Rattus norvegicus: one gene and its partners. The protein of the gene in region 1 purifies or fractionates together with the protein of each later gene. This does not show direct contact. Links are inferred from orthologs where the notes say so. Each region holds a gene or a part of one and is shown on either strand. Other genes may lie near its edges. The genes, in order: Pin1, Raf1 and Polr2d.

Region 1 (4,187 bases):
TATCACCAAAAGGTAGAGTATAACTGTTTTTACCCATTGCTTCGTTCCACAAAAACCCAGGCAGCACCTCCCCCTCCTCTGCTCACAGCAGCAGCAGTTGTGTCTTGTGCATAAACAGAGAAAGTTACTCCAAAGCTCCAGTCTTTTTTTTTTTTTTTTTTTTTTTTTGGTTCTTTTTTTTCGGAGCTGGGGACCGAACCCAGGGCCTTGTGCTTCCTAGGTAAGCGCTCTACCACTGAGCTAAATCCCCAGCCCTCAAAGCTCCAGTCTTAACCCCTGCACTGGTAGCCTAAGTCAGAGAGCAAGGGGTAGCATTACTCAGGGCCTGATGTCATCTGAGTGGCTGTGAGGGCATAAAGGAGACAGATGGAAAATCAAAACCTCAAGGGAAAACTCTGGCTTAGTGGAACATGCTGTTTGCCTAGCACTAGGGAGGCTGAGGCAAGAGGATGGATGTCTGCAGATTGAAGCCAGTAAAAGTAAGTTTGCAAGACGGACTCAAAAAAGTGAAAGGTAAAAGAGGAGGAAGGGGTATGGCAGAAGCCTGAAGGAAGGACCCAGTAGATTCTGGGTCACTCCAAGGGCTGAGTCTACCTGGGTTACACAGCTGATCTAGCATAGGAGAAGAGCTGGATGTTACCCATGAAGGAAGGGCTTTTCATAGTCCTACTGAGAACAAATGACAAGCATAACTAAGCAGAGGGGCAGGTATAGGGGTGTGTGTGTGTAAAAGAGTTTCACTATGGGGGCTGGATAGATGGCCCGGAGATTAACAGCACCATCTGCTCCTCTATTGGACTGGAGTTCAATTTCCAGTACCCATGTGGAGGCTCACAACTGTCTCTTCAGGCTTCTTGGTGGGCACTGCATGCATATGGAATACACATGCAAGCCTAATACCCATACATGTATTTTTTAAAAAAGTGTACGTAGCCCAGGACAACCATGAACCAGATCTCCTCCTGCTTCTGCCTAAGTGCTGGAAATACAGCTGTGTGCCACCACACCCAGTTAGAGACAAGTTTATGCTAGAGGTCACAACCCCACCCTAGGAATGGAGCAGCCCAAAGCCTCTGGGGATAAATCCAACTAAAACCTTTGTCAGGTCACCTTCCCTGAACCTCAGCTTTCTCATCTGTAGACTGGGACAAGAGAATAAGGACATCAGAGCATAAAGGCTTATAACTTTAGTCCCAGTGCGTGAGAGGCTGAAGCACAAGGATCATGAGTTGGAAGCAAGCTTGGGCTACACAGCAAGACTTTACCTCTGTGTGATGTAATCCCAGCAGAACACCAGAGGTTCAAGGTCATCCTTGGATAAGTATCGTCTGAGCGCTCATGCTCGCTCTTGCGCACTCTTTCTTTCTTTCTTTCTCTCTCTCTCTCTCTCTCTCTCTCTCTCTCTCTCTCTCTCTCTCTCTCTCACACACACACAAACACACACATCTTAGAAAGGAAAATGGCTCAATGGGTAAGTGCTTGCAGCCAAATCTGACGGAGTTCACAATCTACTCATGGTAGAAGGAAGAAAACTCTTGCAAGTTAAGATTGTCTGACCTTCACATGCACATACATTAAATACAGTATTACTAATATTATTAGTAAAGATTGTTTCAATAAATAAATTGGGCAAAGTGGTGCATGCCTGTAATCTCAGCACTTGGGGGAGCTGAAGCAGGGGGATCAGGAATTCAAGAGTAACCTGTCTTTATGAGGCTCTGTCTAATGCCTTTCCACATCCACTCTTGATAAAAAGGTGGAAAGTGAATGACATTAAACCTAGCTGGGTTCAGAGAGTTAACATATGCAGTGTCCAGAACCTTGATGCTTAATAACTAAGAATTTTGAGTGAGCTCTGTAGGTTGCATTGACCCTGGCTACCTGAAATGCTTGTAGGCTACTCTAGGCGTTGCCACTGACACTGGGAAGGGGACATTTGAGATCAAAAAAAAAAAAAAATCATTGCAATCTAGGGCATTCCCAGTGACTGAACTGCATTATCAGATGAGTTCTTTCCATGTCTGGCCTCAGTTTCTCCCTCTTGAAATATGAGAGCAATTCCTTTCTTGAAAGATGGTAGCAACCGGGGTGTGGGGGGGAGGAGAGCATGAACCAAGAAAAGAGAGGGAGCGAGGGAGGAGGGAGAGGGAGATGGAGGAACAGAGGTGGAGGTGGGGATAGGAGGAAGAGGAAGAGTGGAGAGGTGGGTGGGAGAGAGAGGGAGGGGTGGAAGGAGAGAGTGAGAGAAGGCAGGAGGGAGAGGGGGAGGGGAAGCGGGAGCACACACCGGCGTAGACTTGTAAAAGAACTGAAGTCTTTCAAAGAGTTTGGCACCATGCTTGACCCAGAGACGAACTGTCCTGGTTAGGAGCCATCACTGTCCCTGGGTCCCGATAGGGGGATGAGCGGGCACGTGTCTCGGATGCTGCCCGAGAAACCAGAGCAGGGCGGCCCACGCCCTCTGCACCGAATCCCGATCTTCCTCTCAAGGGAACTCCGAGGTGCAGACTCGTCGCCTCAGAGCACCGGGGCCCAGTGGTGGGCGAGAACCGGGGCGCGCCTGTGCCTGCCCCACCTCCTACCTCAGTATCTGGCTTTCCGGGCCCGTTATGCCGCGGAGGAGGCCAGATCTCCATGCCCGAAGCAGGACGGTGATGCGACTCGCCTGTGCAGGCGAGCTCAAGCCCAACTTCCGCAACCTCCAGGCCTCGCCCCGGGCCCTGGGCGACCCCTAAGAGGTACCTGAGCTGCGACTCATACGCTTCTCCCACCCGGACGGCAGCTTCTCCTCGTCCGCCATCTTCCCTCCTGCCGCAGCGCCTGCTCCGCCTCCGCGGCTCTGACCCCGCGCCAGACCAGCGCCGCTGTTGATTGGCTCATCCAATCGAGACGCCAATTGGACGGCAGCACAACGCCTCGAGCTCTCGAGCCTTTTATTGGGCTCTCCCGCGGCCTCCTGGACCACCCCTACACACACCCTCCACCCACTACCCTCACCTTCCCAACACCGCTACTGATTGGCTCGTCTGGAAGCTACGTCTATTGGATGCTCCAACCCGGCAAGCGGCTCCCTTTAAGCGTCAAAAGGGCGCTCCACCCTTTTTGGTGCGCTTAGCCGATAAAATAGTGCTTATTTGACTGGCTCCTGCGGCAGCCAATCCGGCCTTCTCAAGCCTTTCTCGGAGGTCCGCCAGAATCCACGCGGAAGTGGCCAGCTGGAACTAAGGTACATGGGTGCTTTTGCTGTACTTTGCCGTTGCCATAGCAATGCAGTTGCCTTGGTGACAAAAGGCTAACTATTCAGAGCCTAAATTTGGCTTTTGAGTTCTTCTTCCCACCTTTTCCTCCAGATGTCCAAAGCGAAACCAGTCCTTTTCGGTTTTTGCAAGGCGAACCATTTCACTGGTTTATTCACCCACTTTCCATGTCTTTTTTAGAACCTACTTCGACTTATTCCTTCTCCATGGGCTCCTCCTGACTTCTAGGCAGGTGACTGATGGGTGAGAGCATTACCACTAGACCGAGGAAAGGGGGTAGGAGAGGGTGGGCGGCTCCAACGACCGGTTTTAGTCAACTGGTAGTCTGAGGAAAACGGTGTGTTAATGTATACCTTCAATCCTAGTACTCAGGAGGCAAAGGCAGGCAGTTCTGAGTTCGAGACCAGCCTGCTCTACAAAGTGAATTTCAGCACAGCTAAGGCTACACAGGAAACTTGTCTCAACAAACGAATGAACGAATCAAAAAAAAAAAAAAAAAAAAAAGACAGCTAGAGAGATGGCTCAGTGGTTAAAGCACTAGCTGCCCTTCCATTAGACCTTTCAATTCACCAGACCTGCATGTGGTACACATTCATACATACATGCAGGCAATTCATATATATAAGAATTTTAAAATGTTACTTTATGCCTAGTGCTGGTGGCAAACGCCTTTAATCCTACACTTAGGAGGCAGAGGCAATCAGATCTCTGAGCTTGAGGCCAGCCTGGTGTACAAAGTGAGTTCCAGGACAGCCAGAGCTACACAGAGAATCCCTGTTTCAAGAATTTTTAAAAAATCACTTTAAAAAACTATTACATTTATAAGGGATACCGCCATGAAAGCTGTGTAATCAAGAGGACAATTTGTGGCAATCTGTTCTCTCCTTCCACCATGGGGTTCTGAAGGTCAAACTAAAGTTGTCAGGCTTG
Region 2 (3,644 bases), on another chromosome or scaffold:
GTTTTTTCTAAGGAATACTATTCTGTCTGTGCCCATACCATCCTGAACAGGCCTGGCCTTATTTAGGGAAGGCTGTTCCCTCACTGAAATGCCACCTTGCATTAGGAATTGTACATTTAGGTTTTCTAAGTCTAAGTCTAGCTCCTTATCTTCAAGGTAAGTTGTTTTTTGCTTGAATGTGGTTCAAATTACCAAAAAGGATTCGATTCATTCAAGTCAGGCATAAACACATATTTCAGCACAAATTCCTTGTTCTGAATGCTGCCTTTAGTTCTATAGTAGCTTTACGGGGATCATTAAATAATAGCTGATTATCTATCAGACATTTTAGACAAAAATGTAGATTTTTTACCTTAGGTCCTAAATACTTGCGTGTCACTGACTGATGTAACTCACTGAACTTGGAGTTTTAGAGCCAGAAAGCAGTGCAGACAAGTTAGAGGCGAACTCTGACCATAACCAGATCTACCTCCAACTACCCGGGTCTTAAGCCTGGGGAAACATCTACAAGTTCAGGCCTGCTTTCTTCTTAGTTGCTATACTCACTTTGGGGACCCTTTCCACAGATGCTTAATTCACCACAACGGGAAGAAGACAGAATTCAAGCTTTTTATATGTGTAATGTGAGATTGAGGTGGTATTGTAACAGAAGGACTGCGTCAAAATCACTTTCCAGAATGTAAGTGCACTGGGACCACAGAGAGAACGTGGCGAACACTGTACTTGGTGTTCCACAGAAACAGCCAAGGGTCTGCAGACAGGACATGAAGAGGGACTTCTTTGTGTTCAGGCTGACAACCTAGCCGATCAATGCAACTTTCCAAAAGCCCAAAGAAAAACCTTACCTAGCAGGCATCCGGGAAACAGATTCTCGCATCCGACGCATTGTGAAAGAGGGTGGTGCTGGGACTCCACTGTCACTTGCAGTGGAATTTGGAAACAGCCTAGAAGAAACAGGGAAAGATTAGTTTGTGGATTTGGTCCTCTCATAGAGAAACCATCCTGCCTTGCCTCTAAACCCAAAGCTAAAACCCAACTTCCCTTGATTCATTTTCCTAAAGTCAGTCACCTACTATGAAGACCATCAACCTGAAGGGCTGCATTACAGGCTGAGTGACAGCAACCAGCTGCCAGGGTATACCTCTAGAAAAGTGGTCCTGTCCAGCTACACTACACAATGCTTCTTAAGTGATAGAACAACATCTCACAACCTCTACCACATACAGCTTTTCTGGAACTGCTGTCTTTGAAACACACACACACACACACACACACACACACACACACAAATTCATTATATTTAGTACCAACAGTAAAACAGAAGGGGAAGTGGGATTACTATTAACCAGGCACATTCATTCCAAATGCTGAGTCCTGGTGCTAAGCAATCTCATGTTATCCCCACCAACTCTTTTGAAATGAAGGAACTGAGAAGACTTGTGCTAGTGACAGTCCTAAGGGTGTGAGGTGTGCGCTGGCCACAAGCACATGCCTTTCTGCTACTCGAGTATTCTGAGAACCAACAAGTGACTTCTGTGGGAGCTAAAAGGTTCCCTCCCATTGTGAATGAAAATGTTATTCCTTTCATTTTCCGAACATGTTGCAATAAGGGTAAAACTGACTTTTCATAATCTCAACACAAGTTTTAAAAAGTCTCTAAGAAGTGTAATTTAAAATATGCATTTAAATCATTTTCTCTCTGTGAAATGTATTTTTGTATCTGGCTTATCTCCTAACAGAGAGAGTCTCAACCTTTTATACCCAAACTGTCTGAGGCCCAAACACATTGCTCCCCAGTGTGAGAGGAAGGAAGCAGCACCAACTCCACTTTCTGCTTTCTTGGGATATAACCTGCAGCCCTGGCCACTTGAAGCCCAGGTGAAGAGAGAAAACCCCACCCTTCAATTTCCATGTCCCTGTTCATCTCCTTGACAAAGCAGTGTCAGTATTAATTTGACAGACAATGGGTCCTGCCTGCTTGTGGTGGTGTTTGTGCATCTGTGTCTGAGTTCATATGACTGTGTGAGTACCAGAGGTCAATGCTAGGAGTCCTCCTCAATAGTTTTTGAGATGGGATCTCTCACTGAAACTAGAGCTCAGTGACTCACTAGACTGTCTGGCTAGCAAACCCCAGGCTAGCTACCGCTGTGTCTCCACTTCCCCAACTCAGAGATTACACTGTGGGCCCAGCTTTGATGTCAGGGCTGGGATCAAGCTCAGCTCTCATGCTTGCTCAGTTAACACTTTACCAACTGAGTCATCCCCGCCCCCAGCTCCCTAGCTGTTTATTTTACAGCTAGACAACCACCACACTAAGAATAACTAATTTCAGAACTATATTATGCTTCTAAAGTAGATTGTTTCTGACTCACAGCAATCATTTATTTAGCAAACCTAAAACTCAGATTTAACATTGAAAATGTGTAATGAACACCGTCAAAAGTGTGTCTGGACCTGACCCTCACATGTTTTTCAAAGAAAAAAACCATAGTGCCTTACAAGAGCTGTCTGATATTACTCCAGTCCACACACATAGTAGGTACTTTGGTGCTACAGTGCTCATGAAACTTGTAGCCACAAGTCTGACATCGAAATCCATTTAGCAGGAACTTTTGACAGATGTCACAGAATGCAAGCTTCAGGAACGTTTTCCGAGCCTGTGACAAGAAAGCAGGTATAGGATTGTGAGAACTCGAGTGACAAGCAAATATAGCACTGTCTTCACCAGCCTCAAGAGTCCCCACTGGGAAGAATCACACTTCCGACACTGTCAGATTCAGATTCAGGGTAAAGGGGCCTCTGTTAGCGGACTCTAAACTACCAGCTATACATGACAGCACAGGGAGGGCTGAAAGCAACTAATGTGCACCCAGGGCTTTTCAGGAAGGTCAACGATCTACCGTAGAGAGCCCAAAATGGCAAAGAAAGAGAGAAGCTGAAACTTACAAAGTTGTGAGTTGTGAGTGGAACGTGATCCAAAAAATCCACTTGCAGTTCTTCTCCAATCAGAGAGGCGGCGTCGGTGTTCCAATCTAAGCGTGCTTTCTTACTAAAAATTACCCAAAGCATAACATGAGAGAGCACTGGACAAGGCTTAAGACATTAGAGCAGTTCTGTCTACTGCATGCTGGCTAAGCACACCTCACAGGTGTTCTGGTTCCACCCAAAAAATAAGCCAAAGTGTATGCTCCTAAAAAAGTGTCCTTTAAACAATGAAGTACAATCCCATGACAAGAATGACTGTGTAATGTTAAAATCCTACCAGGCCACTACAGGTCAGTGTTCAACACCTACTTCCACCTGAAACACACACACAACACAAACACATGTGCTGTGCATTACCTACAGGCTTAAAAGTTGGTTGTAGAAATTATAATAAACACAAGTCTACAGGAGCACAACAGTCTTTAAAATTGACTGACACCACTTTTTCTGTGTCCAGAACAAGGAAGACAGGAAACCATAGTGATTTAAGCAAAAACTGTTGTTCAGGTCCTCTTCCCATTTGCTGAGGATGAATATTTCCAAATGTACCGCACATATGACATCACTCAGGCCCCTCCTATCAGCTTCCAGAAGCCAACAAGCCACTCCCCTGGTTACCCAAAGAGCAATAATTCATTCCTTAAGATAATCCCCTATGC
Region 3 (4,186 bases), on another chromosome or scaffold:
TACCTATTCTTGGACCAGTGAGATCATGCAGCAGATAAAGGCCCTGAGTTCAATCCCCAGAATCTATGCAAAACTGGAAACAGAGAACAAATTCCACAAAATTATCCTCTAATCTCTTCTGTGCACCTCTGTATATATAATAAAAATACATTTTCTTGTCTTGTAATAAATACTTCTATCAATTTTTAAAAAGATTTATTTTCTGTGTATGTGAAGGGTGTGTATGGTGTGTTTCACCTCCAAAAGAGAGACCAGAAAGGGTTTAGATCCCTTGTAGCTGAAGTCACAGGTGTTTGTGAGCCATCTGGTGTGGGTGCTGGGAAATGAACCCAGGCCCTCTGAAAGCATCAAGTGTTAACCACAGAGCCACCTCTCCAGCCCATTTTTTATTAAGTTACAGGGTTTACTAGTGTTCACTAATGACCCAAAAACTGGAGAAGTGTTTGTCCCCCTTATTGTATAGACTTTTGTTTCTCTTTAAATTGAAAATATCACTTTTTCATTTAGCTTTCTACTTATTCAAATGTCTCAACAGATATGATAAAGGGTTCTCAATATTAAACTTCACCTGCTCAGAATTGTTAAATACACAGGAACAATTTAACAGGATGGTATGTTACCTAAACTGGCATGGATTCTTGGGAATTTGCTAAGTAGCCACGCCTCTTTGTGAATTTTTTTTTTTTTTTTGAGACAAGATCTCACTATGTAGCCCTGGTTTTATATCACTTTGTAAACCAGGCTAGTCTCAAATTCAAAAGATCCACCTGCCTTTGCCTGCCTCGGGCATGCTAGGATTAAAGGCATGCGCCACTACAAACTGATCTCCTTCAACTCTTGATCCTCGCGCTCAGTGATTGATTCATTACCACCACACAGGGGTTAGTCTTTTTTTTTTTTTCTTAAGACACAATTCAATCATTGAAAGAGATTTCAGTATGTTTCTGTAGTCACCTACCCAGCTTTTCAACATAGGACATTCCTTGGATCAGCCACTTAGTTCAGTCCTGCACCTCACTTTCTTCTGAAATGGCTTACTTGACGCTCCCAGGTGCCACGGCAATAGTGTGTTGCCGAAAATAAACACTTTAATCTCCAAGCAGGCAGCACAGAACCACACCTCCAACGACCGGAAGCCGCTAGACTGCGCCCGGACCGCCCCTGTCGCGGGCAGTCTCGCGGGTTTCCCCTAGTGTGATAGCAGGGTGCCTGACCTACCGTCGTCCGCCCGCTTTCTCGGCCCCGCCCATTCACTTGGCCCCACCCCGGAGCCGGATTGGTTCTTTTCCTTAGAAGAGCCCGTCCGTGCGGCTTCCGTCTCCGGCAGTGTCTGTGGCAGTGCGCAGGGCGATGGCGGCAGGTGGAAGCGATCCTCGAGCTGGCGACGTAGAAGAAGATGCTTCCCAGCTCATCTTTCCCAAAGGTAGTATCCGGGACAGTTCGACTCTGAGGTGACATTGTCCTTGAGTTATAGTCGTTATCCGTTCCCTGCCCACAGGGAGCATTCGGGGCCGGCACGGGGGATTGATTGGTCAGCCCGGTACAAATGAACCCTTTCGTAGTTAATTCCCCTACACCCAGCAGTTTTGTTTTTGTGAGAGCGTCTAATTAGGTATCCTAGGCTAGCCTCCACCTTATCACATTCGTGCCCTTTCCTCTTGAGTGCTAGAATTAAAGGCATGCGCCATCGCTCTTGATTTTTAGGGGGAGTTAAGCTATGCCTTTTCCTGTCATGCAGAAGATCTGGAGCAGAGGTCTCATTTCAAAATTGGCAGCCAGTAAAAGCTGAGCTATGGTTCCTCTCACAGTGCTAGTCAAAGCGTTTCAAGATCTGTGGGTCAGAAGTGCTCTCTGCCCTGGCCTCTGAGGAGAGATGCTGTTGCCGTTGGTTTCTGAACCTTCGTTGTAGCTTTTCGAGTTAGGAAGAACGTTTGAGAGCAAGATGGGTTCCGGTTTGGGATGTCTGGTACTTCCTTTTGTCGGATGTGTGCCAGCCTCTGTGCATAGTGCTGTTCCTGCTACTAAACTAGTCTAAACTAGTCACCTTGCCCCAGGAAATCAATCCCCTGTCTCTTCCTACCAACTGTTAGATATAGGAACCCTCTGTACCTGTTTTGTGGGTTCTGAGGATCCTAACTCTGCTTCTTACACTGGAGTGGCAAGTACATTATCCACTTAATCATCTGCCCAGCCCCAGCAAGTGAGGTTATCTTCTGTCTTTTGTGTGTGTTTTTAATTGAGATGGAGAATCTTTGTTTTTAAATTTTTATATATAAGGATTATTTTGCCTGCGTGTAGGTCTGCATGCATGTGAGGTGTCCATAGAAGCCAGATGTACTAATTGGACTTAAAAGATGATTTCGAGCCATCTTGTTGGTGCTGTGTGTGGCAGAACCCTTATCCTCTAGAAGATTAGCCAATGCTCTTAAGTGCGGAGCTGTCGTCTCTCCAGCCCTTATGTCACTGTTGTAAAATTTATTTTTATTTTAATTATGTCTGTGCAGGTATCTGAGGAGGGGAGAGGTGCTATGAGGTGTCTGATGGGGTGCTGAGAATTGAACTTCCTTCGAAAGAGCAGTGCATGCTCATTTCTCTAGCCTTCTGGTTTCGTTTGTTTGGTGTTTTTGAGTCTCTCTGGCTATCTTACAGCTCATCAATAATAGACCAGGCTGGCCTCAAACACAGAGATCATCCTGCCTCTGCCTCCCAAATGCTGAGACTTTGAAAAGAGTATTTTCAGTTCACATTTATTCTTCTTCCAGAGTTCGAAACAGCTGAGACGCTCCTGAACTCTGAAGTTCACATGCTTCTGGAGCACCGAAAGCAGCAGAATGAGAGTGCGGAGGACGAACAGGAGCTTTCAGAGGTTTTCATGAAAACCCTGAACTATACAGCCCGTTTCAGCCGGTTCAAAAACAGAGAGACCATTGCCAGTGTTCGTAGGTGAGTACTGAACATAAGCCCAAAACTAAAATCTACTTATGTATGTGTTATGGGAGTTTGGCTGCTTGTATGTCTGTGCACCATGTGTGTAAACACCCACAGAGGCCAGAATAGGGCGTTAGCTCCCCAGGGCTGGAATTACGGACAGTCGTGAGTCACTGTGTAGGTGCTGGGACTCGAAACCCAAGTCCTCTGAAAGAGCAGCTGGTGCCCTCAGCTGCTGAACCGCATCTCCAGCCCTACAAAACGGTTTTATTATTATAGACTCTCGTGAAAGACAGAGGCTGTAGGATCCAGGAGTTCAAGGGCATCCTTAGGGGCATAGTAGGTTCAAAGCCAGCCTTGATTGCATGAGACGCTGTTTTAAAAATGCTAACAAAGCAGGGGCCGCTGAGATGGCTCAGTGGGTAAAACATGCTTCAGCCAAGAGGTGGTGGTGCACCCCTTTAACCCAGCACTCAGGAGGTAGAGGCAAGCATATCTCTGAGTTCGATGCCAGCCTGGTCTATAGAACAAACAAACAAATGCAACCAAAAGTGCTTTCTGGGTAAGTCTTAGGACCTGAGCTTATATAGAACCCCAGATGCACCCAGAAGCTCTGAGAATGAATGAGAAGTTGCCTTCTAAGTATGTATGCTTACGCACTTACACATACACACAAATGGCTAAATAAACAGACCACACACAAATACTTAGGGGAAAAACAAACAAACAAACAAAAAAACCCTAACTGGGTATGCCTTTAATCCCAGAATTTGAGAGACAGAGACAGGAGAATCTCTGTTTGACTCCAGCCTGGTCTACATAGCAAGTTCCAGGACTACATAGATAGAACCTGTTAAAAAAAAGTAATCAAGGGCTTGAAGCCCCCACCCCCACCCCCAAATTTTGCCTACCAGAAAAAAGGCTCTCAGACTTGACTCAGTCAAAATTTTCTCCACTGCATCACAAATTCTGGGGTTACTAGTATATGCCATCATGCACTCGCTGCCCTCCAGGTACGATTTCTTGTATTCATTTTTATTTTATTATTTTTTTTATTGGATATTTTATGTATTTACATTTCAAGTGTTATCCCCTTTCCAGTTTCCCCTCTGGAACTCCTCTATCCCATCTCTCCAACCCCTGCTTCTACGAGGGTGCTCCCCCACCCACCCACTCCCAGCTCACTGCCCTGGCATTCCCCTATACTGGGACATCCAGTCTTTGCAGGACCAAGGGCCTCTTCTATTGATGCCAGACA

What was found.
Region 2: the proteins of Pin1 (region 1) and Raf1 purify together in Homo sapiens (co-immunoprecipitation; 3 studies listed by BioGRID and IntAct, with this or other methods). This does not show direct contact. The link is inferred for Rattus norvegicus from reciprocal best matches to the Homo sapiens genes PIN1 and RAF1.
Region 3: the proteins of Pin1 (region 1) and Polr2d purify together in Homo sapiens (co-immunoprecipitation; 3 studies listed by BioGRID and IntAct, with this or other methods). This does not show direct contact. The link is inferred for Rattus norvegicus from reciprocal best matches to the Homo sapiens genes PIN1 and POLR2D.

The regions. Positions count from the first base shown.
Region 1 is NC_086026.1:27,464,261-27,468,447, reverse strand, and holds the start of Pin1 (peptidyl-prolyl cis-trans isomerase NIMA-interacting 1), read right to left. Parts: upstream 2,807-4,187; 5' UTR 2,801-2,806; coding exon 2,743-2,800; intron 1-2,742. UniProt on the Homo sapiens protein: Peptidyl-prolyl cis/trans isomerase (PPIase) that binds to and isomerizes specific phosphorylated Ser/Thr-Pro (pSer/Thr-Pro) motifs.
Region 2 is NC_086022.1:150,364,260-150,367,903, forward strand, and holds part of Raf1 (RAF proto-oncogene serine/threonine-protein kinase), read right to left. Parts: intron 3,050-3,644; coding exon 2,947-3,049; intron 2,658-2,946; coding exon 2,500-2,657; intron 945-2,499; coding exon 846-944; intron 1-845. UniProt on the Homo sapiens protein: Serine/threonine-protein kinase that acts as a regulatory link between the membrane-associated Ras GTPases and the MAPK/ERK cascade, and this critical regulatory link functions as a switch determining cell fate decisions including proliferation, differentiation, apoptosis, survival and oncogenic transformation.
Region 3 is NC_086036.1:23,691,283-23,695,468, forward strand, and holds the start of Polr2d (DNA-directed RNA polymerase II subunit RPB4), read left to right. Parts: upstream 1-1,295; 5' UTR 1,296-1,350; coding exon 1,351-1,423; intron 1,424-2,762; coding exon 2,763-2,943; intron 2,944-4,186. UniProt on the Homo sapiens protein: Core component of RNA polymerase II (Pol II), a DNA-dependent RNA polymerase which synthesizes mRNA precursors and many functional non-coding RNAs using the four ribonucleoside triphosphates as substrates.